Linked DNA regions of Coturnix japonica. The protein of the gene in region 4 interacts with the protein of the main gene of each other region in a biochemical or structural test. Links are inferred from orthologs where the notes say so. Each region holds a gene or a part of one and is shown on either strand. Other genes may lie near its edges. The genes, in order: RHEB, PEBP1, RASD2 and RAF1.

What was found.
Region 1: the proteins of RAF1 (region 4) and RHEB form a complex in vitro, tested with the Homo sapiens proteins (3 studies listed by BioGRID and IntAct). The link is inferred for Coturnix japonica from reciprocal best matches to the Homo sapiens genes RAF1 and RHEB.
Region 2: the proteins of RAF1 (region 4) and PEBP1 form a complex in vitro, tested with the Homo sapiens proteins (3 studies listed by BioGRID and IntAct, with this or other methods). The link is inferred for Coturnix japonica from reciprocal best matches to the Homo sapiens genes RAF1 and PEBP1.
Region 3: the proteins of RAF1 (region 4) and RASD2 form a complex in vitro, tested with the Homo sapiens proteins (2 studies listed by BioGRID). The link is inferred for Coturnix japonica from reciprocal best matches to the Homo sapiens genes RAF1 and RASD2.

What each region holds. Positions count from the first base shown.
Region 1 is NC_029517.1:5,597,729-5,605,680, reverse strand, and holds the start of RHEB (GTP-binding protein Rheb), read left to right. Parts: upstream 1-3,105; 5' UTR 3,106-3,395; coding exon 3,396-3,447; intron 3,448-7,952. UniProt on the Homo sapiens protein: Small GTPase that acts as an allosteric activator of the canonical mTORC1 complex, an evolutionarily conserved central nutrient sensor that stimulates anabolic reactions and macromolecule biosynthesis to promote cellular biomass generation and growth.
Region 2 is NC_029530.1:8,782,151-8,790,365, reverse strand, and holds PEBP1 (phosphatidylethanolamine-binding protein 1), read left to right. Parts: upstream 1-3,052; 5' UTR 3,053-3,128; coding exon 3,129-3,263; intron 3,264-3,373; coding exon 3,374-3,483; intron 3,484-3,990; coding exon 3,991-4,091; intron 4,092-4,474; coding exon 4,475-4,692; 3' UTR 4,693-5,340; downstream 5,341-8,215. Other genes in the region: TAOK3 (serine/threonine-protein kinase TAO3), read right to left, coding at 7,665-7,826, 7,970-8,152.
Region 3 is NC_029516.1:47,547,311-47,555,446, reverse strand, and holds the start of RASD2 (GTP-binding protein Rhes), read left to right. Parts: upstream 1-2,756; 5' UTR 2,757-3,438; intron 3,439-7,020; 5' UTR 7,021-7,029; coding exon 7,030-7,300; intron 7,301-8,136. UniProt on the Homo sapiens protein: GTPase signaling protein that binds to and hydrolyzes GTP. Regulates signaling pathways involving G-proteins-coupled receptor and heterotrimeric proteins such as GNB1, GNB2 and GNB3.
Region 4 is NC_029527.1:3,329,222-3,336,662, reverse strand, and holds part of RAF1 (RAF proto-oncogene serine/threonine-protein kinase), read left to right. Parts: intron 1-869; exon of another isoform or gene 870-967; coding exon 968-1,125; exon of another isoform or gene 1,126-1,518; intron 1,519-2,087; coding exon 2,088-2,186; intron 2,187-3,600; coding exon 3,601-3,754; intron 3,755-5,229; coding exon 5,230-5,289; intron 5,290-7,167; coding exon 7,168-7,195; intron 7,196-7,284; coding exon 7,285-7,412; intron 7,413-7,441. UniProt on the Homo sapiens protein: Serine/threonine-protein kinase that acts as a regulatory link between the membrane-associated Ras GTPases and the MAPK/ERK cascade, and this critical regulatory link functions as a switch determining cell fate decisions including proliferation, differentiation, apoptosis, survival and oncogenic transformation.

The DNA.
Region 1 (7,952 bases), on a different chromosome or scaffold from region 4:
TTTACACATCTTTGGTGGATAGCTACAATTTCACCATATCCATTAATAAACTGTTGATTGTTATACAAACCAGTGGCAGATTTCCTCCTTATTTACAACATTGGAGCTATAGGGCTGTCGGTCAGACCATGTGAACTGGGGATTCCAGCATTGCTCTGTACTGTGCTATGCAGGCACCGTGTGGGAAAGGACGTGCCAGAGAACCAGGCTTCCCACTGTGTTGATGTGTCAACTGATGTCTGTACGACTCAAATGCAACTCTGTATTGGATGTGAGGGAGGCCGTTGGGGTTTTGCTGCTGTAAATGTACTGTAACGTTTGACGATGAGACTTTTATAATGGTAGATGGAAGAAATTAAACCCTCCAACTTCCGTTTGGTGTTTGTGGAAGCCCTTTCTTCAGATCTCGCTTCCTGCAAGAGATTGTGCTCCGTGAGCTGTGTGGAAAGGGATTATTGGTGGTAGGTTGGAATTTCACATGGTCAGCACTACCTGTAAACGCCATCCAAGCTGCACAGGTGTGACTTCTTGTAAGCCCGCTTGCTCTTCCAGCACCAGATTTACAGCCTTCCTTAGAAGGTATGGGATGGAATTGCCTAAATGCAGCCCTCCATCTCACTCCGCAGGAACAGCATTTTTCAGACCTACGTTAGGTTTGAGCCACTGATAGATGCTTTTTTTCCCCTCACATTATATTTAGCGCAAAGTCTTTTGGCCCTATTCCATCCAGACAGCGTTGTGCCTGTCTGCATAAATTAGCATGCAGGAAGCCAGAATGAATTTGCAGTTTTCAAACAAGCGTGCAAAGAGTCCCTTGTTTTAACATTATTACAAGTGCCCTGTGTGTGTTATGGACACAGAGCTAGAAGAACCATGGACAGCTGTTTCCTCAGCACCTCAAGCTTTCATCTAGGACGCTTCCCTTTCATGTAGCTCGCTAGGGAAGAACAGACTACATCTATATGTAGTGGTATCTATGGTATCTATAGAACTGAGAGCTCAGCAGTGTTGCCCCAAATTCCCTTTCTTAACACAGGTGTGACGATGTTTGCTATTGACCTGCTGCTGTGGATGTGTTTAAGTACAAGGAAAAGCCTTCATAGAACTATGCTTGCCATTATTCTTTTAATGAAGCTCAGCCCCTCGGTATTATGCACTATCTGGTGATGCCGTGAGCTCATTACTTTGGCAAATCGTCCTTTGCTGACACAGATTGTTTGGCTGATAAAAACACTTTCATGTCGTTTTACTTCTGGATTCCTTTCAGTTCAAAGATCTGAGGTCTGTAAGCCTTGCAGACGGTATTTGCTGTTTACTAGCAACTGAATTGCAACTGTTGAGTCTGAGTCTCTATTCATCGCCAGTCCTACGGAGTAATGCTCCGCTGGGAATGTTTGGGTAATGCAGAAAGAACCAACGTTGCTTTCCAAGGCTCGAGTTCTTGTCCTCCCAGCAGGCGAAGACTTTGACTGAAGCAGTTCCAAAACTGCTTAGAGAACACGCTTTGCCATCTTTCATCTCAGTTCAGGGTAAGCTGGAGTCATTCGGTTTCGGTCCAAGCAGAGGTGAAACCATGCGTGCTTAATCCTGCTGAACAACAGGGGCTGTCCGTGCCCAGCTCTCAGGAGCAGCCAGTTTGCTTCAGAACCTTCACACCTCCCACATTTAATGTTTGCTAAGGGTAACCTACAGGAGAAAATATCATTCTGAATAGCTTCATAGTACCCTTGGATCCACATCACGTGCGTTATGCAAAACAAGAATGTTCTGCAGACGATGCTTTTGTCAGTATTTCTAAGCAGACATTAGAGAAAGATGATCTTTGTCGAATCCATGAGGGGCCAGGGACAAGTGTGGGATGGAACTGAGTGTACTTTCTAACCTCAGTGGGCAGCCATACATATGGGAGCACACCCAGTGCTAACATTGGGTGCAGTTCAAATAGCTCCTCCAGTAGGTGCTGGTTGGCCAGAGGATCGAGCAGGTAATTAAAGTGCTAATTGCTTTTATAGGAACTGAATGTACAAGCCAGATGTGTTTTGCATTTGGAACTTGAGTAGCGCTGTGTCCATGGGTTCGTATGCACTGAATTGCCATAAAAACATTGAACTGCTGGGTTACGTTTCCTAGAGGAAATTCATCGCAGACACAGGCAACAAAAGGCCGATGCTTTCCCATTTCTCAGCCTCAACATCTGTTCCTGATCTCAGTGTATATACACGCTCTATTTGTGCCGGCACTCTTTGTTTTGGAACCCAGACCATTGCATTCGTTGACCGCATCTGTTGGGATGTCGTTTATAATAAAACGATTATAACTCACCAACGATTGGTTGTACTGGTGTCAGTCACTCATTGCAGCGTTCTCTGAACTCCTTTGTAGCTCACAGGGTAAAACACTCTAGGAATGAAGATGCTGGATTAGCACTGGGGAGGGGCAAAGGGGAAGCCCTATTGCTAATGCTGCTGCTGGGAAGCCACAACCTCAGCACGGCAGGAAAGCACTAAGACTTATCCCAAGTAGAAGTGCTATGATACAGGTTACTTAGCCATGGAGATCCTGTAACTCACAGGGTTATAGGGCAGGAGATCCCGTAATCCACAGGGTTATAGGGCAGGAGATCCCGTAACCCACAGGGTTGTAGGGCAGGAGATCCCGTAACCCACAGGGTTATAGGGCAGGTGGGATGGGGTCTCTGGGCGGCCTGATCTGGGGGCTGAGGTACCATTTGTGAACCATGGCAGGGCATTGCAGCTGGGTGATCTCCATGAAGCCTATAAGATGGTCCCATGGCACTAGTAGAGGTTCATGTTGAGGTTAGGACTAACTCCTTCCTGTGGAGGACAGTCACACTGAGGTGATCCCGCCCCGCTCAGCCCCTCACACCCCACAACCCAACCGCCGTCTGGAGGCGCACCACGGCGCACGCGCGGCTTTTAACCCCCATCCAACCAATCCCCTCCCACGCATCCCCTTAGCCCCGCCTCCTTTCTTTGAAAACCGATCTCATCCAATCCCCGCCCTCTAACCGCGAGCAACTGCCCAATCAGCGCCCGGCGGGGCGTGAGGTGGGCCGGCATGACGCAGCGGGTTTGTGCAGCCGGCAGTCGGCGCGGTGTTGGCGGTGGGGGCGGTCGGTCGGTCCGTGCTGCGCTGCGGCCTGTGACGCGTGACGCACCGCTACGTGAGGGGACGGGCGCTGCCGCCGCGGGTTCCGCGCTCTCGGCCCATCGATCGCCGCCGCCCTCCAACCCCCCCCCCCCCCCCCCCCCCCCCCCATAACAACAACCAGCGCCGCATGAGGCTGACGGCGCACACGCAGCCTCCCGCCGCCCTCCGCCTCTTCTTCGTCCGCCTCCTCCCTTGATGTGGTTCGTGGCCGGGCGGGGGACAAGATGCCGCCGTCCAAATCCCGTAAGATCGCGATCCTGGGCTACAGGAGCGTAGGTGAGTGTTAAGGGGGGGGAGACGAAATGGGAACGGGTGGGTGGGTGGGTGGCAGGTGCAGGGCTGGGCCGGGCCCCGCGCAGTGCGGCCGGGAGGCGCCATGGCGGCGCCGCAGAGCGCTGCGGGCCCGGGAGCCAACGTGAGACTGTGCCCTTAATTGGACAGGGGACGGCACCGGGACGGGGGGGGGGAACAGCGGGGTGTACGGAGCTTTGTGCCCGTTTCCTCTGTCTGTAGACGTGTAGGATGAACGTACGGAGCGCTGCGGTGCCGGGATCGGGAGTGACTGAGTGGTGCGGTCGATACGGTGGAGGGAACGGGTGACATTCAGAGGGACCTCGACAGGCTGGAAAGCTGGGCTCGGGGGTTATGTTGAACCTAATGAGGTTCAACACTGTTTTGCAGTTGGGCAGGAAGAACCCCAGGCACCTGTACAGGCTGGGAGGAGTTGTCCTTGAGAGCAGCTCGGCAGAGAAGGACCTGGGGGTCCTGATGGACGAGAGACTCAACATGAGCCAGCAGTGCGCTCTGGCAGCCCGGAAAGCAAATGGGATCCTGGGCTCCATCAGGAGAGGGGTGGTCAGCAGGGATAGGGAGGTGATCGTCCCTCTCTACTCGGCTCTTGTGAGGCTCCATCTGTTGTACTGTGTCCAGGTGTGGAGCCCTCAGTACAAAAAAGACATGGGAGATTTTGGAAAGGGTCCAGAGGAGGGACAGGAAGATGATCAGGGGGCTGGAGCACCTCCCCTATGAGGACAGGCTGAGGGAGTTGGGTTTGTTCAGCCTGGAGAAGAGAAGGTTGCGGGGTGACCTCATTGCAGCCTTTCAATACCTGAAGGGAACTTACACCCAGGAGGGGAGTAAACTCTTGGAAAGGGCTGACAATAGCAGGACACGGGGAAATGGTTTTAAGTTAAAAGAGGGAAGATTTAGGTTGGATGTTAGGGGGAAGTTCTTCACTAGGAGAGTGGTTAGGCCATGGAACAGGCTGCCCAGGGAGGTTGTGGATGCCCCGTCCTGGGAGGTGTTCAAGACCAGGTTGGACGGGGCCCTGGGCAACCTGATCTAGTAAAGGTGTATGTTTGGTGGCCCTGCCAGGCAGGGGGGTTGGAACTACATGATCCTTGAGGTCCCTTCCAACCCGGGTCATTCTGTGATTCTGTGATCGTACGGCAACACTGAAGGAAAGAACTTCCCGGCGCCATCCAAGCCGGGAGCTGCTCTACAGCCCCACCAGATTCAGCGTCGTGGGGCACGAATGGAGCGGTGCGGCTCGGCATCGATCTGACTTAAAAGCGTAGATCGATGGGAAGGATAACGAGTGGCTGGGAAATAAACTGCTGTAGGAAGGTGCCGCTGTGCTGCTGAAGGGTTTGTGCTGTGAGTGGTGTGTCTGCGGTCGCACACTCAGCATCCGTAACAACGCCTTTTGCTTTTCCCAAGATTAAAAAAGGTTACATGAGTTGTTTAGATGCTGTGTGTGTAGCAGCAGCCTGGCTTCAAGGCTGGATAAACAGTGCTGTGTCTGTATGGTGCTGGAAGGGAGCAGCCTGCAGGAGGTTGGTGGTTCACATGGGGTGTCTAATACGGCACAGTCAGCCTCGGAGCTTGTCTCCTTATGTTTTCTTCTCCGAGTCCGGACTCAAACAAGCACTGGGCAGTGTGTGTGGGTAGGAGGAACGCTGTCAATTCAGTACATTGGATGGTCCAGGGGTAGATGATCCATTGAGCCTGACAGCACACATTGCACATAGCCATTATTAATGCCATTGCTGGTGTGACCCAGGATGATTTGGTGCTTGTATAGAAGGAGGTGAGCAGAAAGTTGCCTCCTGCCCATTAGGGTTTACTACTGTGCTCCTTCACCTGCAGCTTCATGAGACTGATGTGGTTTGGGGCTCTGTGGGACATGGTCTGTTCCATTAGGACAACTGCTTGTTGTAGACATACAGAAGAGAAGTAATAGTTTGCCTTTCATTAACCATGACAACTCTGTTGCCTTGCTTGTTCTTAGGTATAAATCTTGCATGTTTAAGCCACAGAGTTAAGTATGGGAGCTTTACGTTTCTAGGCAAATATTTACATAAAAGATCCAGCAATAGACGTGAGCTGTTGGGTGTTCTGTCATGTAGGGCTGTCAGATAAACAAGAAACATAGAGCATGACATGAAGTCAACCCAAGGATGCCTTGCAAAGTCCAGGAGAATTAACAGCATGGTTTGGCTTCAGATAGACTTATAGGTAAGTCTGATATCACGATGGCATGAATTCCACTTGAACCCTGGGTAAAAGACAGGATCCCATCCCAGATGAAATAAGGGATGTTACATTTGAACAGAGCTAGTTTTTGTCGGGGTGGGGGATAATTAATTCCAAGATCTGAAGGGCTGCTGAAGGCTTCTGAGCTTCCTTTTATAAATAGGGAACTGCCATTAACCTTAACGTTAGCTTTGACCCTGCAGTCTGGGAGGCTGCTCTGTTACACCGTGAAATGTTTCCAGCTCTGTGCCTTGAGTGAATGCTGAGGTGACCTGGGCTGTGGGGTTGGGTGATCTTATCATTTGCATATACAGCATGAGATTAGAAAATGGCGACCTTTTCTCCATTCTCTTTCAGTTCTGTGCTGAAACAACCGAGCTGACACGTTTCGGGCCGTGAGCTGTTCCCTGCAGCTGATGATTCGACAGCTTTGTGGCTCTCTCAGGCTCTGAGCACGCACGGTGTCAGGCAGCCACGTGCCCCACGAGGCTTTATGAGGCACGAGTCTGAGTGTATTGCTGGCTAAGCCCTTGCTTTTACCTTGTATGAAACCATACCCTTAACCCAGCAATGCCTGGGAGTGCTGTTCTCATGGCTGTTCCTATAGAAGGTTCAGGAGCCTGCTTGTTTCAATCCACTCCCTCTTATCTTTCAACACTGCCATCAGCCTTTCCTGTGTGAACGCAGCGTGTTCTGCTGTGGGAGTGATCCCAGCAGCCCACGGCCTGGGGCAGGGAGATGTGGAGGAGCATTGCCAGGAACCTGAGGACCTGTTAGTGGGGAAGGCCAATAGTTTGCATGTATGTGGCATGAAGCTAAACAGCAACCACACAGGAACGTTATCTTTGAGTGTTGCTTGTGCTTGAATGGATCTAAAAAGCAAGTTACGTTGCGTTATGTAATCGTGCTTGTTCTCCTTAAGGTTCTGATAGAAATCAGATGGATTTTTAGCTTAAAATTCGGTAGCTTGCTAATGGGAGGGATTTGAGTGCTGCTGTCAGTGAAGTGACCAGAGCATTCCAGCAGAAGGCTGCCCTGTGTGTGATGGAGCGTGTGATTTCATAAAGTTATAAAACAAAGCCTTCACTAAAAGGAATCATCACGTTGCCCTCATTGTGTCCTGCTCGTAATTCATTATTTCCATGTACGTTTGGGGTCTGTGCATATGATTCAGCCAACACTAAGGTATGGGTGTCTGGGTGGTCGCTGGTTCTTCAGATCAGTGTCCGCTCTGAAAAGCAGAGCGGGGTTGGCCCATCTTGGAGGGCTCAGGACCAGGTTAAATGGGCTCTGAGTAACCTGTTCTGGTGGGGGCAGCTCTGCCCATGGTGGGCATTCAGACTGGATGGGCATTGAGGTCCCCTCCAGCCCAACCATTCTGTGATGTCAGGTGAGCAGGGAGTTGCCCCTTGGATCAGGTGTTTCAGTACCAGGCTGTTATCTCAACATCATTTGTGTTTTTGCAGCTGCTGGTGTTTAGGAACATGCAGACAGGTGAGCTGGGAGTGCTCCCTGCTCAGTTTGGAGTCAGGTTGGTTCACCTGTGTACCTTTCAGCTTCCTATGCTGTGTAGGTGGAAAGCGGCCCATGCTGAACTTCTCAGACAGAAACGGTGGTCTGTGATTGCAGTAGGCAAGTAGCAAAACAACTGGAGCTGAACTGAATCACCTGCCGTATCTCTAATATGGGCTTGTAGTTATTGGCAGTATTTCCTGGCTTTGAGAGCGAGAGTTACTTGAATACTGGGCTTGTGTTATGAAATGGGGCTGAAGCTTTGCTGTCTCTTGTGAAGGATGGCCTCGTAGCACAGCACCCTGTGAGGGGTCCTTCTGTCCCCGGGTGATGTGGGAGGCAGCACACAGCCCTTGTGGCCGTCTGGTGGGAAGGGATGAAGAAATGGGCGCTGTGGCACGACGCAGTTCAGTGTGCAGGATCAGCACTGTCTGCGATGCAGGGAATTGTGAGGCTGAGCAGGAAGATGGAGCAGGTCGGGATGCAGCCTGTGGTGGCGGTTTGTGCTGAGCTGTAGGCAGCAGCCCTTCCTAATGCTTCCCTCCTTACAGCTGCAGCAGCATTGCTGGCTGGAGCAGCTCTCATTGCATTCCAGGGCGCGGGACTGTGCTGCTGTGCTCTGCAGTGATCTGATGGCAGTGGCTGGGAGCGCAGGAACGGCAGCAGCGGGGTTATGTGAGGACATTGCTCTGGTCTTAACTCTTTGTTTGCCTGCTCTGCTTTCTTCTAATGGC
Region 2 (8,215 bases), on a different chromosome or scaffold from region 4:
ACCTCAGCAAAAGCTTGGTTTTGCAATCATTCTCCTTGAAGGTCTCCATGGTTTCCCTGCCTGTGTTTCTCCCTGACCTGTGCACCACTGCCTCAGGGGAGCATAACTGAACGACAGCCAACAGGGACAAAGCAGGAGGCTGCTCTGCAGAAAGTATCACAGCAACCACTAGAATACAGGGGAAGGACAAATTTCTGCCACAGCTTTATCTGATGCAGAACAGCTGTCACTGCAGTGTGGGGTCACACTGCCTCACTCAGCCCCTTGCTGTGCTACGTTCACATCACAGCCCAGCGGTGGGGACAAACTCCATGAAAAGGAAGGTGGGTAAAGCACTGCTGGGTTCAGGCCAGGGCCAATCACCAGGTAACCAGGACTGCGTTTGTTATTTAAATACAGAAACAACTAACGGCAGGATGGGGCAAAAACCCATAGAAACACAAGAGCAGTCCCCTCGGGCAGAGCAGAGCTCACATTTCATGCAGCTCCAGTTCATGGCTCTCCCCCATCATCTGGTTTCTGGGGCTGCCCAAGAGTACGACTTTGGTGGAGAAGCTGTAGCATATACACACCCATACACAGATACACACACGTGTTCTTTTAACAGCCAGAGGGATTCTGGACTCTGATCCAGGCAGAAGTAACACATAGTGTCCCTGCACTAATTGCCTGCTACAGTGCTCAACAAGACCTTACTGAGAGATGCTGCTACAGAAAGCCCCAACGAAGAGGTGTCAGAGGGACGAGTTATGCTTATTTTGTAAAGCATTTTTCAAGTCACGGGAGAAATCACATAATTTGGATTAAAGGGCAAAAAAAAAACACGGCAAAAACCCATGTGAGCTGCAATAATACCTTCTCGAGGCTTGGCTTCCCAGGAACAATATACATGCACCTTTTATGATCTCTGAAAACAGCCAACTGTGGCTCTCTATGGCACAAATTGCTCCTATGGCCAACAGAGAGCGTGAAAGAAAATGAGTATTTACTTCTAATGTTATGCTGATAAGCTCCAACTTCTAGCCTGTGCTGATGTTGCTTCTACTGACCTTAAGCATCACTAGAAACCTCTCTTCAACCTGCTTAAAGAGACCCCAGTAGTACATACCACCTTTGTGACCTTTAACTGACAAGTCACACATTAACAAACCCATTTCAGAGAGTGGTACCAATGCTTGGCATGTCCACAGAAGATCACAAAGAAGAGCCTTAGCATAAAGAAGCCTTCAGACATCAATTAGAGAATGTTCAGATAGGAGACTGGGAAATGCTGGTGATGGCTTTTGCTCACGAGCATTTTGCTTTGCTGCTCTAGATTTAAGGCTCCTCTTTCTAAGCTCCAAGCCCACAGATTCTCTATAGTAGCCTAAGGTTTGATTCCTTCAGTCCAGCCCCCATGAGCCTCCAACCCCATCTGCAGGTTTCTCGCCCCAGGAAGGGAATTTTCACCTGTGTGAACGTTCAGAGATTTAATCTGTACAGAACAGGTACAACTTTTACAACACATACCCGTCAACAAGCTCCGACAAAGAAGCAACACCCTGAATGCAAACAGAACACAGGCATCACTCTGCAAATGTTGACAGAAAGATCAGCAAGAAAAAGAAAGACCTGGTAAAGCACAGATTGGCAACGAAGCAGAACTGGCAGCAGCCTTTCGCTCTTCCAAAACCCTATGGTTGGCACGGAGGACAGCAGGTCATAGCCCAGGTCTGAAGGCCTATGAAGACTTCTAAGAGAATGGATAAGGAATGGAAATGGGACTCATGCAACCCAAGGGCAGAAATTCAGTCATGGGACAGACTTACTGGCTACCAGGAGCTGAACTCTGTGCTCGTGGTCTGTCTTGTTCAGCACTTCCTTACACGTGTAGTTGCCCTCATCCTGCAGCCGCAGCTCCGAGATGCGCAGGGAGCTGTTGTCCACCAGCGAGAAGCGAATGTCTGGGGGGAAGGCGACCCTCGAGGAGAAGAGTGGGGGAAAAGAGTGCGGGTCCCCTTGGAACCACAGCACCTCAGTGGCCTCCTTGGAGACATTGCGGCACAAGAGGAGGATGCTGCCTCCCACCTTCCCAAAGACTACTTCTGCTGTTCCTGCAAAACAGAAGGGAGAGCGTTAGGGATGCGGGAATACATGGAGCCCTTTTCCTCAAGCTCGTCAAGTCCTCTGTCCAAGTGGAACCCAGTGCAGAGAGGGCCTTTTTGAGTCCAGCCCTGCTGGAGGTGGATGGGGATTAAGAAGGGAAAGGTGATTTAGGAAGCAAACCGCTCGTATTCCTGCCGTGCCTCCCGCTGCCATAGCGCTGCACTGAGGTACCTCATGCCGCCCCTCAGCCCGTACCTGCAGCGCTGCGGAGCGGCACCTGCGCCCACCCCCAGAGCGCGAGCAGCAGCCCGGCCCGCACCGACCCGCCGCCGAACCGCATCGCCGTCCGCCTCCACCGGCGCCTCCCGCTGGGGCCGGACCCGCCCGGGGGCGGTGACGACCCGCCCTCCTCCCTCACCTCCCGCTCGGGTTCCCGGTCGCCGCCCCGCTGAGGGGACACCCCGGGGGCCGCCCGCCGCCATCTTGGCCGCCCCCCGCCGCCATTTTGAGCGCCCCCGGCCGCTGCCGCCATGTTGGGCGCCCCTCCGCTGCTTTACGACCATCTTAAACCACCTCCGGCATCGCACAACGAGGAAAGCGGGCCGGGCCGGCTCGGGGGGAGGAATCGGCTTTATGTGGAGCCGAGCAGTTGCTGCCTGTGCCAGAAATAAGGCAGTTCTCTGCAGGGCCAAGGCCGAGAGCTGCTCGGGGCGATCGGCGCAGCGCCCGCTGGCAGCCACAGCCCACGTTTACAGCTCGTCTTGGGACACTGTGTATCGTCGGGGATTAACAGCCGTGTGCCAGCTGTGTGCTATAAACTTTATTATCCCTAAGCACCGGCCAATGCCCTCAAGGCCGCCCGCCCCGGGGCAGCGCAACGCACCGCCACCACTTGGGGGCGCCATAACGATGGGAGCCAATGGGAGCGGAGCGCGGCGTCGCCGTAGCCAATAGGAGCGGGGCGGGGAAGGCGGGACGAAGGGCTGAGGTGATCGCGCGGCGCGGCCGTCACGCAGCGGGACGCGGTGTGAGGAGGAGCCGCCATGCCGGTGGATGTGGGGCTGTGGGACGGGCCGCTCAGCCTGAGCGAGGTGGAGCAGAAACCTGCGCAGCCGCTGCGCGTTAAGTATGGCCCCGTGGAGATAGACGAGCTGGGCAAGGTGCTCACCCCCACACAGGTGAGGTGGGGGGTGAGGGGGCCGCTCAAGATGGCGGGGGGCGGCAGCGGAGCCTTCGGGGCTGTGGTGAGGGTGGAGCGGGCCGTGAGGTGACGCTGTGGGCCCTGCAGGTGCAGCGCCGACCCACCAGCATCGAGTGGGATGGATGCGACCCGCAGAAGCTGTACACCCTGGTGCTCACCGACCCCGATGCGCCCAGTAGGAAGGATCCGAAGTTCAGGTAACGGCGTTTGGTAATTTCCTGTCTTACCTGCGGGGAACCGGTCGTTGCTTTTGGACCGAGCGGCTCGGCAGGAGGTGGGAAACGTGCTCTGCCCTCGGATCTCTTGTATAGACCTGGGCAGCGGCTGCTTATACAGTTTCTGCCAGGGCGTTGAAGGGCTCCTGTAGGTGGTAGTGGCACAGATTTGCAGCTCGTGGTATGTGCAGGAGTTGGAATTAGGTCTGTCAGCGCAGTGTGGGAGCAGCTCGCCCTCAGCTTGGGCTCAGGAGCACACGCAGTGCTCACTTACCAGGCTTGGAGGTGGGTGCTGGTGCTACAAGGCAGGATGGAGCTGCCCGATAGGCTCCGAGTCCTGCAGCAGGCACTGAGCTCCCAGTCCTCGTTGGGTTTAATGAATTAGAAATGGCAGTGGTTAGCTTTGGTTATCCTGCACTGACAGCAGCAGAAGGTCGTGCCTGGGGGTTGTAGTGCAGCTTTATTGTTAGTTTTTTAACCTTCTTTCAGGGAATGGCATCACTTCCTGGTGACCAACATGAAAGGTAACAATGTGGGGAGCGGGACCGTGCTGTCAGACTACGTGGGCTCGGGCCCCCCTAAAGGAACAGGTGGGTGCCTGCATGCATCAGTCCCAGTGCCTCGGGCCTGTGGTGGTGTGGGTGGGTGAATGTGGGCTGGGAGGGAGGACACAGTGCTGCAGAAATGGTTCACGGGCCTGCCTGCACCTACATGCAAGCCTGGTCAGGACTTAGCAGCACCACCCCTTCTGTATTTGCTGAGGGGCTGCACCTGCATTCAATAGCCAGGAGGAGTGCAGGTGTGGCACGAGCCATTCTGGTGCCTCAAGATGTCTCCTTTAAGCTCGTTTAGCTCAGTCAGACTTATCCTGTATTGGCTGCCAGCAGCCCTTGGGTGGGCACAGGTTTCTTTCCTGAGCTGGGGTCACTGCAGCCCCAGAAGGTGCACTTGTAATGCTGTCTCATCCCTGCAGGGCTGCACCGCTACGTGTGGCTGGTGTACGAGCAGCCGAAGCAGCTGACCTGCGATGAGCCCATCCTGTCCAATCGCTCTGGCGACAAGCGAGGGAAGTTCAAGGTAGCTGCTTTCCGCAGCAAGTATGGGCTGGGGGTGCCGGTGGCTGGCACTTGCTACCAGGCAGAGTGGGATGACTACGTGCCGAAACTCTATGAGCAGCTGTCTGGGAAGTAGGGAGAAGGGGCCTGACCAAGCACTGTGCTGCACCCTCCATTCCCCTAAGCATTTCTCTGTAGTTTTGTTTGCCTGGTGAGCTGAGAACCCAGCTGCTCCTGCACCGACAACTTGAGCTGTAACCTGAACCGTATCCCCAACTATCTCTGTGAAGTGAATCTGCTTTGGTGTCAGAGCGGTCTGGCTGTGCGTTGTGCTTCAGCTGACTGCTGGAGGTACAAGCCACAGCTGGCTCAATCAGCTTCTGAAAAGCTGGTGCTGCAAGAGCTGCCCCCAGGGCTGCCCTGCCCAAGGGAAGTCCTAAGCCTTTGTGACTCAGTACCACTTCAGTGTGTCTCTACTGTGTTAAAATGGTGTTGAGCAGCAGTGTGGGTACAGAACCACTTCTGGCTGCGGAGCCTTCTCTTTCCAGGAGGGGAGAAGGCAGCAGTCTGTAAAGGGAAACTGCATTTTTTCCTCTCCTGCAAGTATTCGGCCAGTGCCTCCGCTAAAGTGAACCACTAATTAGTAGAAAGAGGCATTGATGCTGGTTTATAGCACTACTTTCTGATCTCTGTTGCCATTCAAAGCTGAGAGGCTTTGCTTTGCTCGACTTGTGTTGTGATCTGGTGTTTGCTCACAGTGCAATTAAACACTTTGCAAGGTGGATGGACGGTGTGGTTGTCTTCTTGGAGGGGAGTAAGGAGGGGAACACTTACGGGAGCAGCGTGATGTAGCAGGGCTCCACTCCTGGTGTTACAGACTTGAAGGTGCATCCCAACCCTGCTGCAGGGTTGCACTTGTGTTGCTGCGAGGCCTGGTGTTGTTTCCTAAGCATTTCAGGCAGGAAACAAAGCAGGACTCAAGGCTTGATTTTAACAAAAAACGAAGCCAACGTGACTGCTTCACAGGACCAGAAGCCTTCCTCCTGTCAGTTGTTTCACCATCTCCAAGGAGCTGTTTTTTAAGGGGTGTGAAAAACATACATGAGTTACAAACCTCAACACCTTGCAGAAATCCAGGTTTCTTCACACTTGGCCCCCAGGGCAGCCTTCCCAACTCATCACTGAAGCTCCATACCTGGAAGGCAGTGGGACCTCCACCATGGTGCCAGCTGGTGGCACAAGCAGAACAGGGACAGTGCTAACACTGCTGGGACAGCTCCGAGGCTCCTGGAAAGGAAGTGTCTCAGGAACACCCCAACTAAACACAGCAGGATAGACAACAAGACAGCAGAGGGTGCAGACCCTGAGAACTTGGACTGAAGAAGGGCATAAGATAAAGAGGTGAGCATCAATCTGAGTCCGCCCCCCTCCCACAGCCACGAGCCACTCCTCCCCCAATGAGACAGCGAGGCACTGTGATGAACACTTTTATTTACAAATATAATTAAAAGCTCTGACAGTTACTCATGCTCTTCCTTTGAACCTGAAAAACATCTTCTTGGTGGTGGTGGTGATGGTGGGAGGGGGGGGAGGTTGTTTTTTTTGCTGTTTTCTTGTCTTCGTTGCTTTTTTTTGTCATTTTTCTTTTTCTTTTTTTTAAAGTGCATGCAAAAGAAGTAAAGCCTTTTTTTTATATATAATTTTCTTTTTTTTCATTTTTTATCTTTTTTTTTTCTTTTTTTTTCTCTTTTTATTGTAAGAAAATACACAGTTTGAAAGTGTGAGGAATGCGGAATTAATGACTGAACTCATGGGAGGCCGGAGGGGGAAGTTAGGAGGGGGGGGGGGTAAGGAACAGAAAGGTTAGAAAATAAAATGGAACCACCCCCCCCATCAACCCCAAAAAGAAAAGAGAGAGAAAAGCAAGGAGTGGGGATGGTGTGACAGTGCTGAACTGCAGGGACTGAAAGCGAAGGGGTTGGAAAGGAGGAGGGACGGAAAGGAGTAAAAAAATTTTCTGATCAGAGAAAACAGTTAAAATACAATATGAAAATAAGTCAAAGCTCTCCTTAAATTCCTTCTATACACAAAATACACGATTTGACAAAGCCCAATTTTGTGCTACCAGGATCGCGTGGGCTCTTTGTTTTAAGTGTAGTCAACATCCTCTGCGACAGCAGAAAATGGTTCTGATACAATCAAGAGTTGGCCGAGGGACGGGGGGGCTGCCCCGCCTGGCACGGCGCTCCTACAAAGCACCGGGTCTCTGCCCACCCCCCACCCCCACCCAAGCAATAACATCCCACCACTGCTATGTACAGCACGACTCACGGTTGGTTGGGGTTTGGGGGGGGAAGGATGAGGGGGGGTTGTTTGTTTTTTTGTCTTCCTGTAAAACGTATCAAATAAATTTTTTTTTTGTTTTTTTTTTTTTCCTGTTTTTTTTTTTTGTTTTTTTTCAATCTTTAATAAAACTTTTTATTATTATTATTTATTTATTATTAATTATTATTAATTTCATTATTCCTGATGAATAAATACCCCCAAAAAAATAAGAATAAAATAAAAGTTATGCAGCAGCTGGTTCAAGGTAAGGCTGCGGATTTCGTCTCTCTCCCCCTGGGTTTGTATCTATCACTTCTCTTTTTTTGCTTGTACCTTTCAGAGGTCGGTGGATAAAACCCACGTCATTGATTGCTCCAAAAGCAACAAACATCCACATGGGGGCGGATCGGTCTTGTTTTCTCTTTGCTTTCTCTCCATTCAAATCGTCTCCAAAAGTTTGTTTTTTGTTTTGTTTTTTTTATCAACTGAAACATTTCTTTTTGTTTTTAATCATTGCACAGAGACATCGAGACTGTGACGTACTATGGGAAAGACTGCCAGGAGCCGCCCGCCACCGGGACGTGACACAGGGGGAAAGGGGACCCCTGATGGAGTAAGAATATACAGGCACTGGTCCGACACGATGTCAGTAAGAGAGACAGAAAGAGAGAGAGAGCACGCCCGTTAACATGGGGAATGTTGGTTTTTGCGAGTTTTGTAACTATTCTGTTTGCTTTTTTTTTTTTTGTCTGCTTTTGTTTTTAATGGCAAAGAAATTTCGTCTCATCTATAGTCCTCCTTGGGATAATCTAATGTGACCAAATTCCCAAAGCCCATTCGTAAGCTCTCCATGTCAAACGTTTCAATCTCTCGCTCCTGCCTTTCCAATAGAAACTTGATCCTCTCGCTGCGTTCCTTCTGGAGGGCGGCGAGCTCCTCTTCAATCTGCAAGAAGCACAGGCAGCACAGCCCCTCAGCAGCGCCCTCAGAGCTCATATGGCCCTTTGCGGGTCCCCACCAGGCACCAACTACAGCCACATGCACCCAAGCAGCAGCTGCTCGCTGCCAGCAGCCCACCCCAAACCCACCTTTTGCTCCAGATGCGCCCTGCGCAGTGACACCCTCTGCTCCAGCTTCTGGAGTTCTCTTTCGTGCTGTGCTTCTGTCTGCATCTTAATTTTACTCTGGTACGCGTTGAGGAGCTCCATCTCCTGCTGGAGTTGCAGTCTCAGGGCTTGGCATTCTGCTTCTTGGGCCTCGTCCAGTCGCAGCTGTGAGACAGAACATGACGTGCTGCACAGACTGGTGGCCTGACTGCACCCACGGCCCTGCAG
Region 3 (8,136 bases), on a different chromosome or scaffold from region 4:
GAGAAGTGAATGTAGGAGGGAGGGAGGGAAGGTGAGGGGGTGGAAAAACAAGCCTGCTTTACTGAATAATGAGGGGAGTGAAAATGAATGGGAAGAGAAAGAGAATAGCTGGTTTAAATATTTAATCTCTGTTGCATATGCTTTTGAAGAGGAGACAAAAGCCGTGGAACATCTTTTGTCTTGAACTAATTCTGACCAGAACTTAACAGCATGTGATTGTCACTTCTGTCGTTTTCCTTAAGGTGGAGAGAAATGCATTGGTCCTGCTGCATCAGCCCATTGTATCAGTCTTCATCTCCAGCTGCAGCTAGCATTGGGAGCTGCAGAAGGGACAAATGGCTCCAGATAGTGGCCCTTCTGCTGCACGAGTGTGCACTGCCCAAATGCTGATGCTGGCAAGTGCACCAAGCAAGCAGGCATAGCCTCTGGTAGTCATGGTGGTTCCTGCAGCCACAGCCTGCAATGCTCTGAGCCTGCATTAGTCACATGAGAAACTCAGCTTGGATTTCTTCATACATGGGATGAGCAGGAGGAATAAGTGCCTCCAGAGCATATTTCATTGTGTGTCTGACGTCTACATTAGTAAATAGCTACAAGCTCTAAGAAAGTTTGATGGTCTCCGATTAACCAGAGAAAACTGCTGAGATGGGGAACTTTTCCTCTTCTTCTTCTGCAACACTGCTTTGCTTATTCCCTTTTCATCCCAGAAAGCAGAGAGGTGCTGCCATCCCTGCTTCCCAGTGAGCAAGTACTGAGAATTAACCTTACTTCTCCACAAGGTACCCCAGGAAGCCATGAGAAAAACAGATTGAGCCCTAAGGGAAGCCTTGGCCTTTTGTAAACTGTTGAGCACACTCAGGGGGAAAAAAAAGAAAAAAAAAAAAAAGAAAAACAAAAACAAAAAAGGCAAAAAAAACTCAACAACAAAGCCACAGCAATATCAGTGAGCCTCTGAAGACTCATAGTCAGCAATTATCTTTTGGAGGCTTTCTTTAAAAGTAACATTACTAGCTATCTGCTGAGAGACCAAATAATGCCAAGATGCCTAGCTGAGAATGTTCCCTTCCTATTTTGATGTGCTTAGAGGAAACGGAATGGCCAGCTTAAATGCTGGAGAAGACAACTGAGTGGGAGTCTGGGCTTGGTGAAGGCAGCTAGGCAGGAGTTTTGCACTTGGTTTACAAAGATCTTGAGTAGGCTGAGATTCCAGGCTGATGAGATGGTCTCTACAATGACTACGCCTTTTTTTTTCTTTCTTTCTTTCTTTTTTTCTGGCAAAGAACTCCAGTTCTTGCAAGCTGTAGACATGAAAGAGGAGTATATTCTCTGTAGCAGTATAGGACTTGAATTCTATGCTAATTTTGTCATCAGCAATTCTTCCTGTGGCAATGACACCAGCATGCTGTTTACTTAGTTTGTATCTGAGACACAGATTGCAGTCCAGTCACCAAAGATGATACCTTTCAGTGAAGGTTTGATCTGAACCAATGACTTAGGAATGAAAAGCATCATATCTTATTTCTATGTGAGCTGTAAAAACGCTTATCAACTTTGTACCAAAGAGAAAAGACTCGTGTTGATAAAAAGAGTTGTGGTGTTGTGGTCTGAAAAGAGCTGAGTTCAGATCATGACCCACTAGCAGTTCACTGGCCCCTGGAAGAAGCCAGCAGTATTTTGGTGGTGCTGTGCCAAGTTGTGCTCTTCCTTCCCAAATGTGAAGCTGTCTGTACAAGGCAGAAGCCAGGAGCTACTGCTCCCCAAAAGAAAAGAACCTAAGGGATTCCACCAAAACGGCACACATTCTTGTGGGTATTCTTGAGGGGAAACATGATGAAGTTGGAGGATTATTTTCCTTAAAGAAGAGTAAATTTGCTCAAAGAGAAAGTGAGAGAAAATATTGAGAGACTTGAAACTACGAGTATATTTGGATTTGAGATACCTCCCTTCTGGGTTTGTTTTTTTTGCGTGTGTTTTTATTTTTTGTCAAAATATCTTGAAGATTTCAGTGCTTTTCTTCCTTTTATCCGATTCAAAGTTGTCAGTTGGCAATGCTGAAAGACTTCATTTTAACTCTTTTTAAATGATATATTTTTTTTCATCTTTTCTAATAGACGTTACAGTCTAAGCTATTACTTCAGCTCAATAAGGAGAAAAGCAGAGTTAGCAAACGATGAAATGAATTGCAAACACACTTCTTTAACAAGGGCAGAGCAAACTGCCTGAATTCAATCTAATTTTCCTTTATTTTCTGATTTGTCTGCCTCCCTACGGTGCTTGTTTAGCTCATTTAAATATTAATGAATTAACAGCAGTCACACATTACCCTTATTTCTTAATCAGACCAACCAGCAGTCCCAAGAGAATGATGCTGAGGGTGAGGGAACGGGAGACCGTATTCCATATGGCAAAAGAGTTACAGGAATTCTGGACAGAAAGCCCCTTCTCGGGAAATGAGTCAGTCCACTTCTGCCTTGCAGAAAATATCAGCGCTGAAGTATAGAAGCAGCCTTTAGAAACAGCTTCTGAATTGGTGGCTGGCAAAGTGAAGTCTCTGTCTCTCATACACATCCACTAACCCTCTCCCTACACATGAATGCATACAGGTCTCTGGTGGGAAGAAAAGGAATGCACAGCCTGGAATGCATATGGACTTTCTGTTCAGGAGGAAAATATATATATATAAAAGATTTTTCAACAGGCTCAAAATCCCACCCCCTCAGCACCCCTCCTTCCCCTGTGTCTGACACTGACTTCAAGGGAGGAGTTGAGCCAATTATCTGTGAGTCCTACAGAAGGGAAATCTGCAATTTGCCAGTAGTTGTGAGAGCCAGGGAGAGAAAGGCAGGGGGGTGGAAGGAGAAAAACTTAATTGGCAAATGTAAAGAAAAGCCCCTTCTGTCCTCGAAAGAGAATAGAACAATTCAAATCCCAGGTCAGAAGAAAAGAAGCTTGTGGGGAGGGGTGTGTGTGCAAGGCAAGACCTGAGGAAGCGTAGAGTCACGGTAGATAACTTCCATGCCCTCAGTGATTTTTTCCCATAGGGTCTGAGGTGGCATAGGGTGAATGAACCCCCAGCCCTGCAGGACTAGGTGTTGCTCCAGCAGAGTTGCCCAGAGGAGAGACTCTGCCTCTCCTCCTCACCTGAGGCTGGGAGCAGAAGAGCTCGTCTCACGAAAGGAAAAAGCTGCTGCTGGTCTGGAGACCCTTCTTTAGCCCTGATATAGTCATTGCCTTCCATGGGGGGACGTCCTCTGGAGCCCTGCAGTCCCTCCCAGTCCTGCTAAGTTCCCAGGAAATACCGGTGAAGAGCTGAGCCCTGAGCAAGCAACGTGGGATCCTCAGAACAACAGCCTTCTACAGCATAGCTGCTTCTGATTAAAATTACCAACTTCATCAGACTACACCCAAACCCGGGGCTGCTCCTCCAAGGAGAGAAAGGTAAGAGAGCAGCACGGAGTTTGGGATAGCAGTGGGAGACAAACATCCCAATGGAGTGATCTGAGTGTGCATGGGAACTGAGGGGTACTAGTGGTGACTAACAGGTGGCAGGTCTGTTATGCAGTTTGCATCTGCCTATGTTGTTTTCAGCTGGATGCAGTGAAGTACATTTGGATGGCAAATTGAAGCATCAAACTGTAGCTAAAGACAGTGGAGTGCAAGAAATGTGCTCTGGGAGTGTGTTCTTGAATGGGAAGCAGTGGGGAGGATAAGCAGATGTCACTGATGGGAGCCGGGATGCTTGGGTGGAAAAGCTGCTGGCAGGTTCAATGAGGAATGTCTTCCTTAGGTAGCTCTCTCCAGGTGCTCAGAACTAAACCTGGCAGCACCTCACTGGAATTTAGACAAGTGCTTTTCGGAGCGAGGAAAATCAGGTGCCTTGTCATTTGTTCTTATGTGCATCTTCAGAACAGGCAGCGGGGGGTCAGCAGGTAGAAGATGCGGGCAGTTCAATGAAACAAGGCTTGATGCTGATTTTGGACAGCTGTTTCATTTCTCTATTGGCATGCAAATCTTTCCCTTTATTAACTGGAGATAATACTCACTGCCTGTATTTCTGTGGCATTCTGAAATCCCTTCACCAATATAAAATACTAACGCAAAGTTTCTGCCATGGAGACAGTGCATAAAGAAAAAGGTACCACTGGGAATTAATCTATGCTTAAGCATTTAATAAACTGGAAGGAAAAGATGTAGATTAAAGCCAGCTGGAGGTTGTTTGCCTCCTCATTCTCTTCTGATTGATTTTGCTTTATTTAGTACATGAGCATGTGGCTCCTTTCTATTTCCTTTCCTCTGTCTTTAATCTTTTTCAATGTACGAGTCCCTGTGCTGGGAGCAAGGGCTGAAGTTTCTTTCCTTTTGTGAGGAGGAAAGAAGAAAGATTGCGCTGAATTGGAGAGAAGCTGAAGTGGTGGGATAAGGAGAGAGCACAAAAACAAACATAAGCTCCCGGCTCAACGGTATGCTCTGAGTCAGATTTGCAGCAGAGGTGATGAGATGAATAGAAACTCCAGGAATCAAAGAGCTGAAAAGCTCTGTTAGACTCCATGTGAAACAAAAAGCAGTCAGGAAAGCACAGGAGCCCTCTTAACTGAATGCCTGGACAGGCAGAATGAGGACAGCATTGAGTGACTATTTAATACATTAAAATCTGCATGTGCTTACAGCCCTTCCTCCTCAGTGCATGTGCATCTCTGGTGCAGAGCGTCCTGAAGTGCACGCACCTGCAGATAGGATTTTGTCTTTGATGGAGGTAGAAGGCAGCATGATTTAGTGGCCAAAGGTGCCACAGTGGCAGTTCCTCCTCCAAGGTGTTTGGGGTACTGTGGCATTAGAATCAAAGAACCTCTGAGGCTGGAAAAGACCTCTGGTCCTACAGTCAACTCATCACCACCATGACCACAAATTAGCTGAGGTCCAAGGCAGTGAAGTCCATGTCAAGGAGGAAGACAGAAGCACCTCTTGCCCTCAGGGTGCAAAACCAGCCCTCCGAGCAGCACAGAGCTCAGTGCTTACCTGTTAGAAAGCAGTACACATAGTAGGAGTCAGACAGGAGTGCAGCTATACCAGTCTCTCCCAGTCTGAGGAGCTGACTGATTTCTAAGCACTGAGCACAGGCTGTAGAGAAGTTGGTGTTTTTTTCTCATAAAATCTATCTCCCTGCTTTTCTCTGTCAGCTAAATATAGCCTGAGAGGTCGAAAGGAAGTATCCCAGAGCTGTTCTGTTGACATTCATCTGGCCTGTGGATTCATGACAGCATTGGACTGGCCATGTAGGATAGAGCCACTGCACGTGGAAGCGTTGTTTCAGATTAAATTTGGTGTTTCTGCGATGCTGGAGATGGGTCCTATTCTAAACAAAGCAGTTCGATCCAAAACAGGCGTGCTCCTTGCTGTCATTTCAGCAGCACCATATCTGTGAGTGTGTGTGTTTACATCCAAAGTTATAATCGGACATTACTGTCTGCCTCTAATATTGTGCAGCCCTGACCTCTGTGTGTAATTTAGACCATAAGATACTTCAAGGAAAGTGCTGCATTTTCTTCCATGCTTTATATAGGGATAAACGCGCTGCTAGCAAATGATAGCAATAATCATAAATAGTCATGTTTTGCTGTTGCCTCAGGCTATAGCACTTGTAATGATTCTGGATTAGAATTCCAGAGACTCCTTTATTTAGCAGTGGCCGTATCTTCACTTCTGCTTTGGTGCTTTGCACATGTTAAACAAAGTCAAAGATTTTAAGCTCTTGACTGAGATAAGTGTCAGCTGCATAAACGCTTGGGAGATAAAATACACTCGAGGGAAAGGCAGGAATCCAGATCTGAACCCAGAGATGATATTTCAGTGTACATAAAGTGCTCAAATTGTAATATTAAGTAAACAACACCTAAGTTAAATAAACGGCACAGTGGGAACTTGATTATTCTTTAATAAGATCCTAGTAACCAAAATAAACTCTGCCCAAAATGTGCTTTCTTAGCTTTAACATTAGCTCTCCCCACACTGGGGTTGTATTTTTCCTTTCAGTACACTATGTATTTGAAATAGCACACGTAAAAACGTCTGTGCGACCCTCCTTTTTATTTCCCCATCAAAGTTTCCCGTATCTGAGTACTGCATCTAAATATGATCTCCAAGGTCTTGAGACACATTTTTTCTTGTCAGGGGTTGGAAATCTTGTCAGATAGTAATTTAAGATGGCTGTCCTTTGTTCTTTCTCTTCTTGTACTTAAATGCTCAATGATTGTGACACTCACAACATCTGTGTACGTATAAAGATTGAAACTCCTAAGAAATCTTCATTACTGCAACTCTATCCATTGACAGTCGTCCTACTGCAAGGCAGTGATAATTGCAGCACTGATAGTTTCTTGGTAGGGAGTTCCCACACTGTCAGTCCAAGCAGCTAGATGAAATTCTGGTTTCTGAAAGGTCACAGAAGGCGCAGAATTTATCACTACTCAATGCTATTTTGTGTCTTGAATTCCTCGTGTCAGCAATGTAGGCTATACAGGACCAGCTATTTAAAATAACTGAGATGTCTAGCTTCCACAGATGTCAAACGTGATTCGGGCTTCTGTCTGACTTTTGGTTGATCTCAGAAAATGAATGCTGTGAGCAGTTCCTATTTAGGCAACCAAATGAAGTGGTCTAGGTCCTGACGACAGCTGCAGTGGATACAGTACATTAGGAAATTTGATGGTAACCTCAGTGGGTGCAATATATTAGGAAATCTGACCTCTGTGTTTATGCATCTAAAACAGAACCAGAACTGAAAAATCTGGTAATGTCTAAGTGACGCAAATGATGGGAAGGAACCTGGTGTCCAAGTTCAAACGCAGCTGATAAAATTAGCCCTTAATGCTTAAACAAAATAGCAAATTACAATTAAGAACCATGCTATATTCAGTGTAAACATCAGAGTACTCTTTGACCAACTAATGGTATGGAATGTCCCTGCTCTGTCCTCCACACAGTTTCTTACCTTTCCTTCAACTTTGCCATTCCCTCATTCAGGTCCAAGCAATGATGAAGACCATGTCCAGTGGAAACTGCACCCTGAATGTGCCAGCCAAGAACTCGTACCGCATGGTGGTGCTGGGAGCCTCCAGGGTGGGGAAAAGCTCCATAGTCTCACGCTTTCTCAATGGCCGGTTTGAGGACCAATACACTCCCACCATTGAGGATTTTCACCGCAAGGTCTACAACATCCGGGGAGATATGTATCAGCTGGACATCCTGGACACCTCAGGGAATCACCCTTTCCCTGCCATGAGAAGGCTTTCCATCCTGACAGGTGAGAAAGTGAAGAAAGTTTGCAAACAATGGATTGAAGTTTATAATAACAAAGTGTAGCTTGAAAACTGTATCCTGGAGATGAGTGTTTCTTGGGGATAAAATGCATTTGGGAGGCAGCAAAATGGGCTGTGGGATTTCATTGCAAGATTCACTTCTCCAGAGAGATATTTCCTGGCTGGTGTGCTTCCTAATGCTATATGGAATGCGCTAGCCGCAGAGGAGAAGTCCACTGGGTGAAGGTCTGAAATTAAGATTTCCCCCTAGTTTATTCCCCTGCTCTACCACCTCCCTCTCCTACAACATTTTTATTTTTCCAGCCATCACAAATTAATGGTTGAATAAAATCTCGTGGGCAATAAAGAGCGGCAAGGGACAAAACAGGCATGTCATTATAAGACACAAGCAGTGAAAACCAAATGAAAAATGCACAAGCAGGGAATTCAAACTGAGAAAAGCTCAAAGATTTTTTTTTTTCTTAAAAGTCCCAGCCTGACTCCCTTGATTTAATATTCCAGTAAAAAAGATCACTCTACTTTTACCCTCTCTCCTTAAGTCTACAATTAATCAAATGAATTAAAGAGGGAAAATAGTAGACTCATTTTGTACATCCCCATTGTCGAGCAGTTCCTTCTGTGATGTTCTTATACTGCAAAAGTGACAGTGGAGATACATATTCAGCCACAGCTCACAACAAGCCAACTTTCTTGGTCTGCTGTCTCCCCTTCTAGCTAGCCAGTGAAACATGACATTCGTATCAGACCAGGCTACCATCTGCGTTCACGGAGGTCCTAGAGCCAGTTTCTGGGACATGGATGTGAGCTTTGTCCGTGAAGT
Region 4 (7,441 bases):
AAGCAAATTAATATAGTTAATAAATAGTTTTAGGCCTTCATGCATGTAGAGGAAGAAGCAATCAAGATTACAGATAAGTAGATGATGAAGGCTGGTATTTGTTTGTTCATTTAAACAGAGATAGTGTCCAACTGTAAGAGTTTCACCTTCTGTTATTTTATTTTCCATGTGAATGAACTCTCTGCATTCTAGCCTGTTTCACTGTTTTGATCCAGAAGTATATTGTGCAAAGTGATTATCACTTACATCAGTTAGAAAGCCTGGGATTAATTTGCAGTGACTGAAAATAGCTCTGCTTATACTTAGCAGTATTAGAGAACTACAAATAAAATCATTTGCAATTTCTTACAAAGCCTAATATTTTGCTCCAGAACTGAAGGAAATTCAGACTTGCAGGTGTTGTGTATGGTAGCGTTCCTTTGGAGGAGGAAAGCCTTTCGTCCATTTCCATGTCTTATTTTCATGTTTCAGCTTTAAAAATGTAAGACACCATTTTGAAAAATAGAATTTCCATAAATTTTTTTATATCCTAAGAAAATGATTTCTTACATCCGGGTTATTGGTTATCTATGGGCTCAAAACAAATATTGTGATGAGTAAGGAAGAGGTGGTTCTTATGATCTGCTCCTCCTTCACTTGTGATGATACAAACTAGACCAAAAAAACCCAGTTCCCACTCAGCTCTGTCACCTTGCAAAGTACAAGATGTTGCTTTTCAGTCTGATGGAGCAGATAATTTTACGCTGTATTTTCTTTGGGTAAGCTGTGCCCCAATTATTAGTGAGCTTTTCCAGGTTTCCAGCCGAACAAGAAATACACACAAGTTTCCTTGTGTAACTTTACGTTCAGTAACATTTTGAGGGCACTGATAATATTTTACCATTGTTTTTATTTATGTCAAGCTCTGAAGATGTTCATCCTGGCTAAGTAAGAGAATCTTGGATTAATCATTAAATGCATTTTCTAGGCTCGGAAGACGTTTCTAAAGCTTGCTTTCTGTGACATCTGCCAGAAGTTCCTCCTAAATGGGTTTCGGTGTCAGACGTGCGGTTATAAATTCCATGAGCACTGCAGCACTAAAGTTCCAACCATGTGCGTCGACTGGAGCAATATCAGGCAACTCTTGTAAGGACCATTCCTTTCTAATAGCAACAATTGTTCCCCGTGACAGACAACCATCTTGGGCTCTGGTTGTTTTCCTTTGTTCTTAAAATCTTACCATAGAGATGTATGTGGATCTTTGGGAGGTGTAGTGCTGTTCATCAGTTTACAGAACACGTGTATTGATTTCATGAAACAGCCAGCAATGACTGTCTGTTCCCAGGCGAAGAAGGCCGATCAAATGCATTTTGTTATTGCTGTGGATTTCAGTATTCTCAGACAAACCAACAAATGTACTGAATGATCAGGCAGGTGCTGTAATGCCCTTCTGATTCAGCATGGGAAGGCATCCTAATTCCTCTTTATTACAATACTTCAGTTAGAAGAAAAAGAATTGATGACTTAATCGATTTTTACCTGTTGGAAAGATGAATGTTTGTATCAGTGCTCTTGATAGGCCACTGAAAATGAATAGAAAGTTGAGAAAACTGATGAAGGGTAATACTTAAAAAATACTGATTAGAGAAAGTTGAAAATTGCTGTTAGAAGTTCTTGCATGCAAAACAGATGAAACCTGTGAATGTGTTTGTATCGTTATTAGTGACTGTATTATTTTTTTTTAATAACTGAACTTGGTCACGTAGGTGATGAGATGAGCAACCAGAATTTAGGATGATTGCATCACTTGATGCTACCAGAGTTTAATAGAAGTTAAATGTTAGTCTCATAGATCCTGTTGAGAAAGTCTGAAGTTTTGCAGAGTTGTTTCTGAAGTCTTAAGTTTAGTAAGAACACATGAAAATTCTCTGTGAGGATCTGATGATGCAGCTTTTAGTTGTACCATACAGAGAAAAAACGTTGTGGAAATACAGGAACTGGGGATGTGTTTGTGCCGAGCAACAGCCCTTCAGATCCTCAGTTTTAAGAGCATTGTACAGGAGGTAGTGTAGCAGTTGAAATTGTAATTGTTTTTGTTGATATTTCAGATTGTTCCCAAATTCAAATATCAGTGACAGTGGTGTCCCTGCACTACCTCCCTTGACAATGAGACGGATGCGGGAGTCTGTCTCCCGGATACCTGTTAGGTAAGCTAGTATTTCCTGTCATTTCTCTTTTGGGAAATACACTTGTTTAAAAAACAAAAAAAGCCACGCTCCCAACTCCTTGAAAATAGAAGAATATAGAAGGACATAAACGTGCAAGAAGGCAACAGCACTTCATCACAGAAAATACCTAGTGTCAATTCTTACAGCATCAAACAAAGCATCAACTGTGGAATTTATGTTTTTAAAGTTTAGTCTTAAGATTTTAAGTGAGGGTATTAAACGTTTTGTGGAGACCTTTGTTTACCTGCCTAAGAAGATTTGGTATTGTGTGAATTTTATTTCATCTGATCACGTAGCATACATGTAAGGCTTTATAGCTTATTTCTTGTGTGTGAGTCACATGCATTAACTAAAATAACGTCCTGCGTTATGGCTGTAGGGAAGAGATTAAAGAGAGCAGCAGAAATGGAAAATAGGCTCACGTTACAGAAAGTTCTGAGACCTGATTAGTAAGAACATCCCTGTAGTTTTACTGCTAGAATATAAATCGGTTTCTTTCCAAAGCAGCCTGTCTCTGATGATAATTTGTGCCTGTATTCTTTTCCTTGAAATCCTAGAGGCTGCAGAGGGCAGGCCAGGTTTTGTTTTTTCCACATCCCTTTGAAAAACGTTGACCTGTTCAGGAATGAGGCACAGAGCACGTAGCTGATTGCAAATGGTTCTATTTATTTATTTATTTGTTTGACTGGGAACTACATCAATAATTAATCTTACGTTCTCTTTGCCATGTTAGTCTGTTTCTAGTGTTACTGCGCAGTGACTTCCTGATTAGGTAGCTGGTTGTTTTTGTGAAGGCTGTCTGGTTTTGGTTGAGCTATTTGTGTTATTTGGGATAAGTGAGGTTTGATTAACGTTAGCTGTAATTTGTAATTCTTCCCTGAGCTGGATTTCACTGTTGGCCTCCTGACAGCTGTTGGGATTCATGACTTCCTTGCTGGCTGTTCTGTGTGAGAATTTGAACAGTCTTGCAAGCTTCAAAAACTCAGGGCTAAGCAATAAAAAAGTACCTTTCAGGCTGTTCACTTAATAAGCTTGAAATGAGAGGTTTAAATTTAACTGCCTGAATTAATTAATCCAACAGAGCCAGTAATTTATCAATATATTAAATGTGATTTAATGGGGACTGAGGCGAACTGTGGCACATTGCATAATGGCAGAAGTAGGCTTAAATGTGTTAGATCAGTATGCCAAGTTTTTCAGTTTATTTCCTAAGTTAAAGTGTGAGTGGTTTGGCTGACCAGATAGTTTAGTTAGCATGTAAATCCCAACGTTCCCCATGTGTGAAGTTTCATGTATATTCCTGCTTTTGGTAGATTACACTGAAGAGTATTTTCTTGACTGCTAGAGGAGGGGAAAAAAATAACCACAAGTTTCTCTCTTTCTTTCTTCTTAGCTCCCAGCACAGATATTCTACACCTCATGTCTTTACGTTCAACACATCAAATCCTTCCTCTGAGGGCACCCTTTCCCAAAGACAGCGATCTACTTCCACACCAAATGTCCACATGGTTAGCACTACAATGCCAGTCGACAGCCGGATAATTGAGGTAATATTGGTGAGGATGGATTATCATTCAGTTACACTGAATTTGTGACTATCTAATAGTCACTGGTTGGTGTTTTTTCTTTTTCTGTATTTCATGTACTCTTTTCCTTAACAGGCTGTGATAAGGATATATAGGTGGCACATCTGCCTGGAAAGTTAGTAGTTCATTCTTGCAATCTTTATCAACTTCACTAAAGTTCTAGGTAGATTTCAGTGTCTTTGAAGTCATGAGGGAGGCTTAATAAGTAAGTTCCACAGATCTGAAAAGGGAACAAGCTCAGCTTTTCGGAACATGTGTTACTTGAGATATTGCAAAATGTTCTTTGAAATTTACATTTTAGGATTGGGGCGGGGGGCTGATGGCTGTTTAAAATGAGGCAGGAGTTGTAAGTCTGGTTGCAGTTCTCAGAGCCTGAATGTTCAAGTGAAAGCTGACTGTAGCACAGTAGCACTATACCCTTATAGAACTGGTGGCTCATGGGAAAGCCACCTCTATCTGAAAATACTTCTGCTGTTACTTGATTGCAGTAATCCCTTTATTGTTTGTTTGTTTCCCTTAGCTTGGGTCCTTACACTGGAAACAGTGAGAGTTTTTGGAAGTAAGGGCTAGAGAATCCTGTTTGTTTGTGTAAGGGAGTGATTTGCAGGAAAGGCTTGCAGAAAGTAAGTGATGAGCAGCAGGATTTCAGAGAGCAATGTGTACTGCCCTCTGCCCCTCCTGAAATAAGTTTAAGAAGTCCTTGGCCAAACAAAATCCTTTGACTTCTGAGTTTACTGGCTTATTCCTTCAGCTGGTAGCCTGTAGGCTTCTATGAAATGTAAAGGCTCTCCTAAATGTGCCAGAGAATTGCTCTGCATCTTCAGTGAGGTGAAATGAAGTGCACTGCAACCCTGTGACCGTTATTTGATTAGAAGCATTGTGGTAGCTGGATTTTATGGGGAGAGGTACCTCCTTACAGGCTAAGATTGTCTGCTCCTGCCCCCCTACCACAGAGGTTTGAACTACTGTCTTCTATGGCAGAAAACCAAAATGAAGCCTTACAGAAAGAGAATATGAATTAATAAACTTGGTAGTGTGATAAGTGTTTGAGATATTTCTTTCCTTATTCTTAATGCATAGCAGTAGAGAAGGAAATGCTTTCTATTCTGCCTATCATAGTGCACTGAATAAAATAGCTGCCCTGGCTTAGAGGCAGTAGCTGCTTTTCCAGTAGGCTTTAAAAAAAGCAACCAGCAACACAGATAGCAAGTACATTAAGGGATGATATGAGAAAAGTCACCTCAGTAAGGTGATTAATCAGCCTGAATACTCGTGTAATGTTTTTCTTGAACAGGAATAGTTATTTATATATTCCCTGCACTTAATTATGATGTGCCAGACAACTTCGGTTACTTTTTCTTTCCTTTATCCTAACAATTCATTCTTAATTTTTTTTATACTTCCTCTTTCTGTTATCTCTTACCCTGTTGGCATAGAATAACAGCCTGAATGCTTCTCCCAGTTCCTGGTGCAGACGATTTTGTTTGAGGGGAAGAGTAGGTATTTTCTTGGTGCATTTTGTTTTCTTGTGATTAACAGAATTGCTGTAACTTGTAAGCCATGGCAGTGTCCACATGAAGTGTTTAATCTGGAGCTGATTTAATGAAAATCTTTATAGCATGTGTGTACATAAATATCGAGGACAACACCTGGAAGAGGCAAATTGATAGGGTTCATTTTTAGTTGAGATGGATAGAGCCGTACTGCTGTGATAATTGTTATGCACTTGAACAGGCTTGGATTAGAGATCTGCTTGGTCACACAGCTTTTGAGGTATAAAACATTCTCAGATACATCTCTTGTGTGACAGGTTCCCACTGGAAACTATTTTGTTAAATTTAACTGTGCAGAAGTGTAGATGAAGAATCTGATGTACTTCATATCAGAGCAAAGGTGGCAGACTGCAGCACTGCTGTGTAGTGTCATTTGTGTTGAAAAAAAAAAAAAACCAAAAAAAACCAAAACACTTTTTGGGGTGTATTTGCCATAGGATCAATAAGAAAAAGGAAAATATTATTCAAGCCAGAACTGAAGGTCAGCAAAGATACTTCCCCCCCCGCCCCCCCCCTCAGGTAACAATTCCTTAAGAATTAACTATGAGAGCAATTGATGATTATTTAGTGGTTCTTTACCAGCTTGCTTGAAAGAAATTACATTCTCAGGCCAGAGCAGAAAAACCACCACTTGTTATTAATGTAGATTCTGAAAAAGACTTTCAGTCCTCAGACCGGACAAAGGTAGTAATTTGTAGGAGTTCTCTGGTAGTTTATGTAGATTTTAATTCACTCAGGCATAGAGTAGAGGAGCTCTACAAGAATGTGCTATTTAGAATTCAAGCCTGGGAGAACACGGCTAACTGGCAACAATGATGTGTTCCATAAATGAATCATTAGTAAGGAAATTCTGGGCTAATTTGAAAGCCATACAGTGGAATATAGGCTTGTTCTGTCCTCCTATGAAGTCTTACATTTATTATTCTACTAATTAGTTAGAAAGTTTGAATTGACTTCTATTAACTTCTACAGTATTTAACATTTCTGTAGTGCATGTTCTTGCTTTGTACTTATACAGTACCTGGATATTTTACGTTTCCTGTTTGTACTTTGGGATAATGCATAGCAGGTGAGAAAAGTTGTATAGTCATGTTTGTCAGAGCTTAGTTTATCTTGTGCATGGCTGTAGAGTTGTGTTGTAAAGTGCCTGTGGCATGAGGTGAGAGTTGTCGCACTGTACCAAGTAGTGAGCTGTGTAAGAACGTGCTTTTCAACCATCATCAAACTTCTGTGGAAAACACTTGTTTTGAAATGGAGATGTTTTTGTGTTAGAGCAGAAGGTGTAGTCAATTATGTGTTGAAATACCTCTACCATGCTATTTCTAAATGCTTATTGACCTGGAATATTTCAGGGGATTTAAAGTTTTCCTATTTACAATCCAGAACCTTTTTAAGTAATTGTCCCCTGGAGACACAGGGCCATCACAGGAGTGTTCAGATCATACGAGCATGAACAGCAATGGAGGGGTGGGAACAGAGACAGTATTTCTCACGTTTATTCTTGTTCCATGTCTTCTCCCCCCTCTGTTGGTTTTTTTTTGGTAGTAATACCTTTCAATATGCTGTGAACATTTTTAATGTGCTGTAAGTATTTGCCAGTTGCATGGGTTGTTTTGGTTTTCTTTTGTCTTTTTTTCCTAAGTAAATAGGATTCTTGTAACTAGAAAATAACCAAGCTGCCATCTTTTAAAGGGACTTGGTCAGTAGTGTACAGCACTTGGTCTAAACTGTGAAGAACTATTTCAACACATTTATTTCTATTTGTTCATTTACATACTGTCATATACTTTATTAACTCTGTTGATATTTTCTCTGTTCTAGGATGCAATTCGAAACCATAGTGAATCAGGTATGGCTTCCAAAAATAAAGTATTATAATCATATTTTGTGTTTGTTTTATGGTTTGTAACTTCGTTTTCTTTTGCTTTCACACGTAAGCTTCACCCTCTGCTCTGTCTGGGAGTCCTAACAATATGAGCCCGACTGGCTGGTCTCAGCCCAAAACCCCAGTCCCAGCCCAGAGAGAGCGAGCACCCGGAACCAATACACAAGAAAAAAACAAAATTGTAAGTATTTTTGAACTACTGTATGTAAA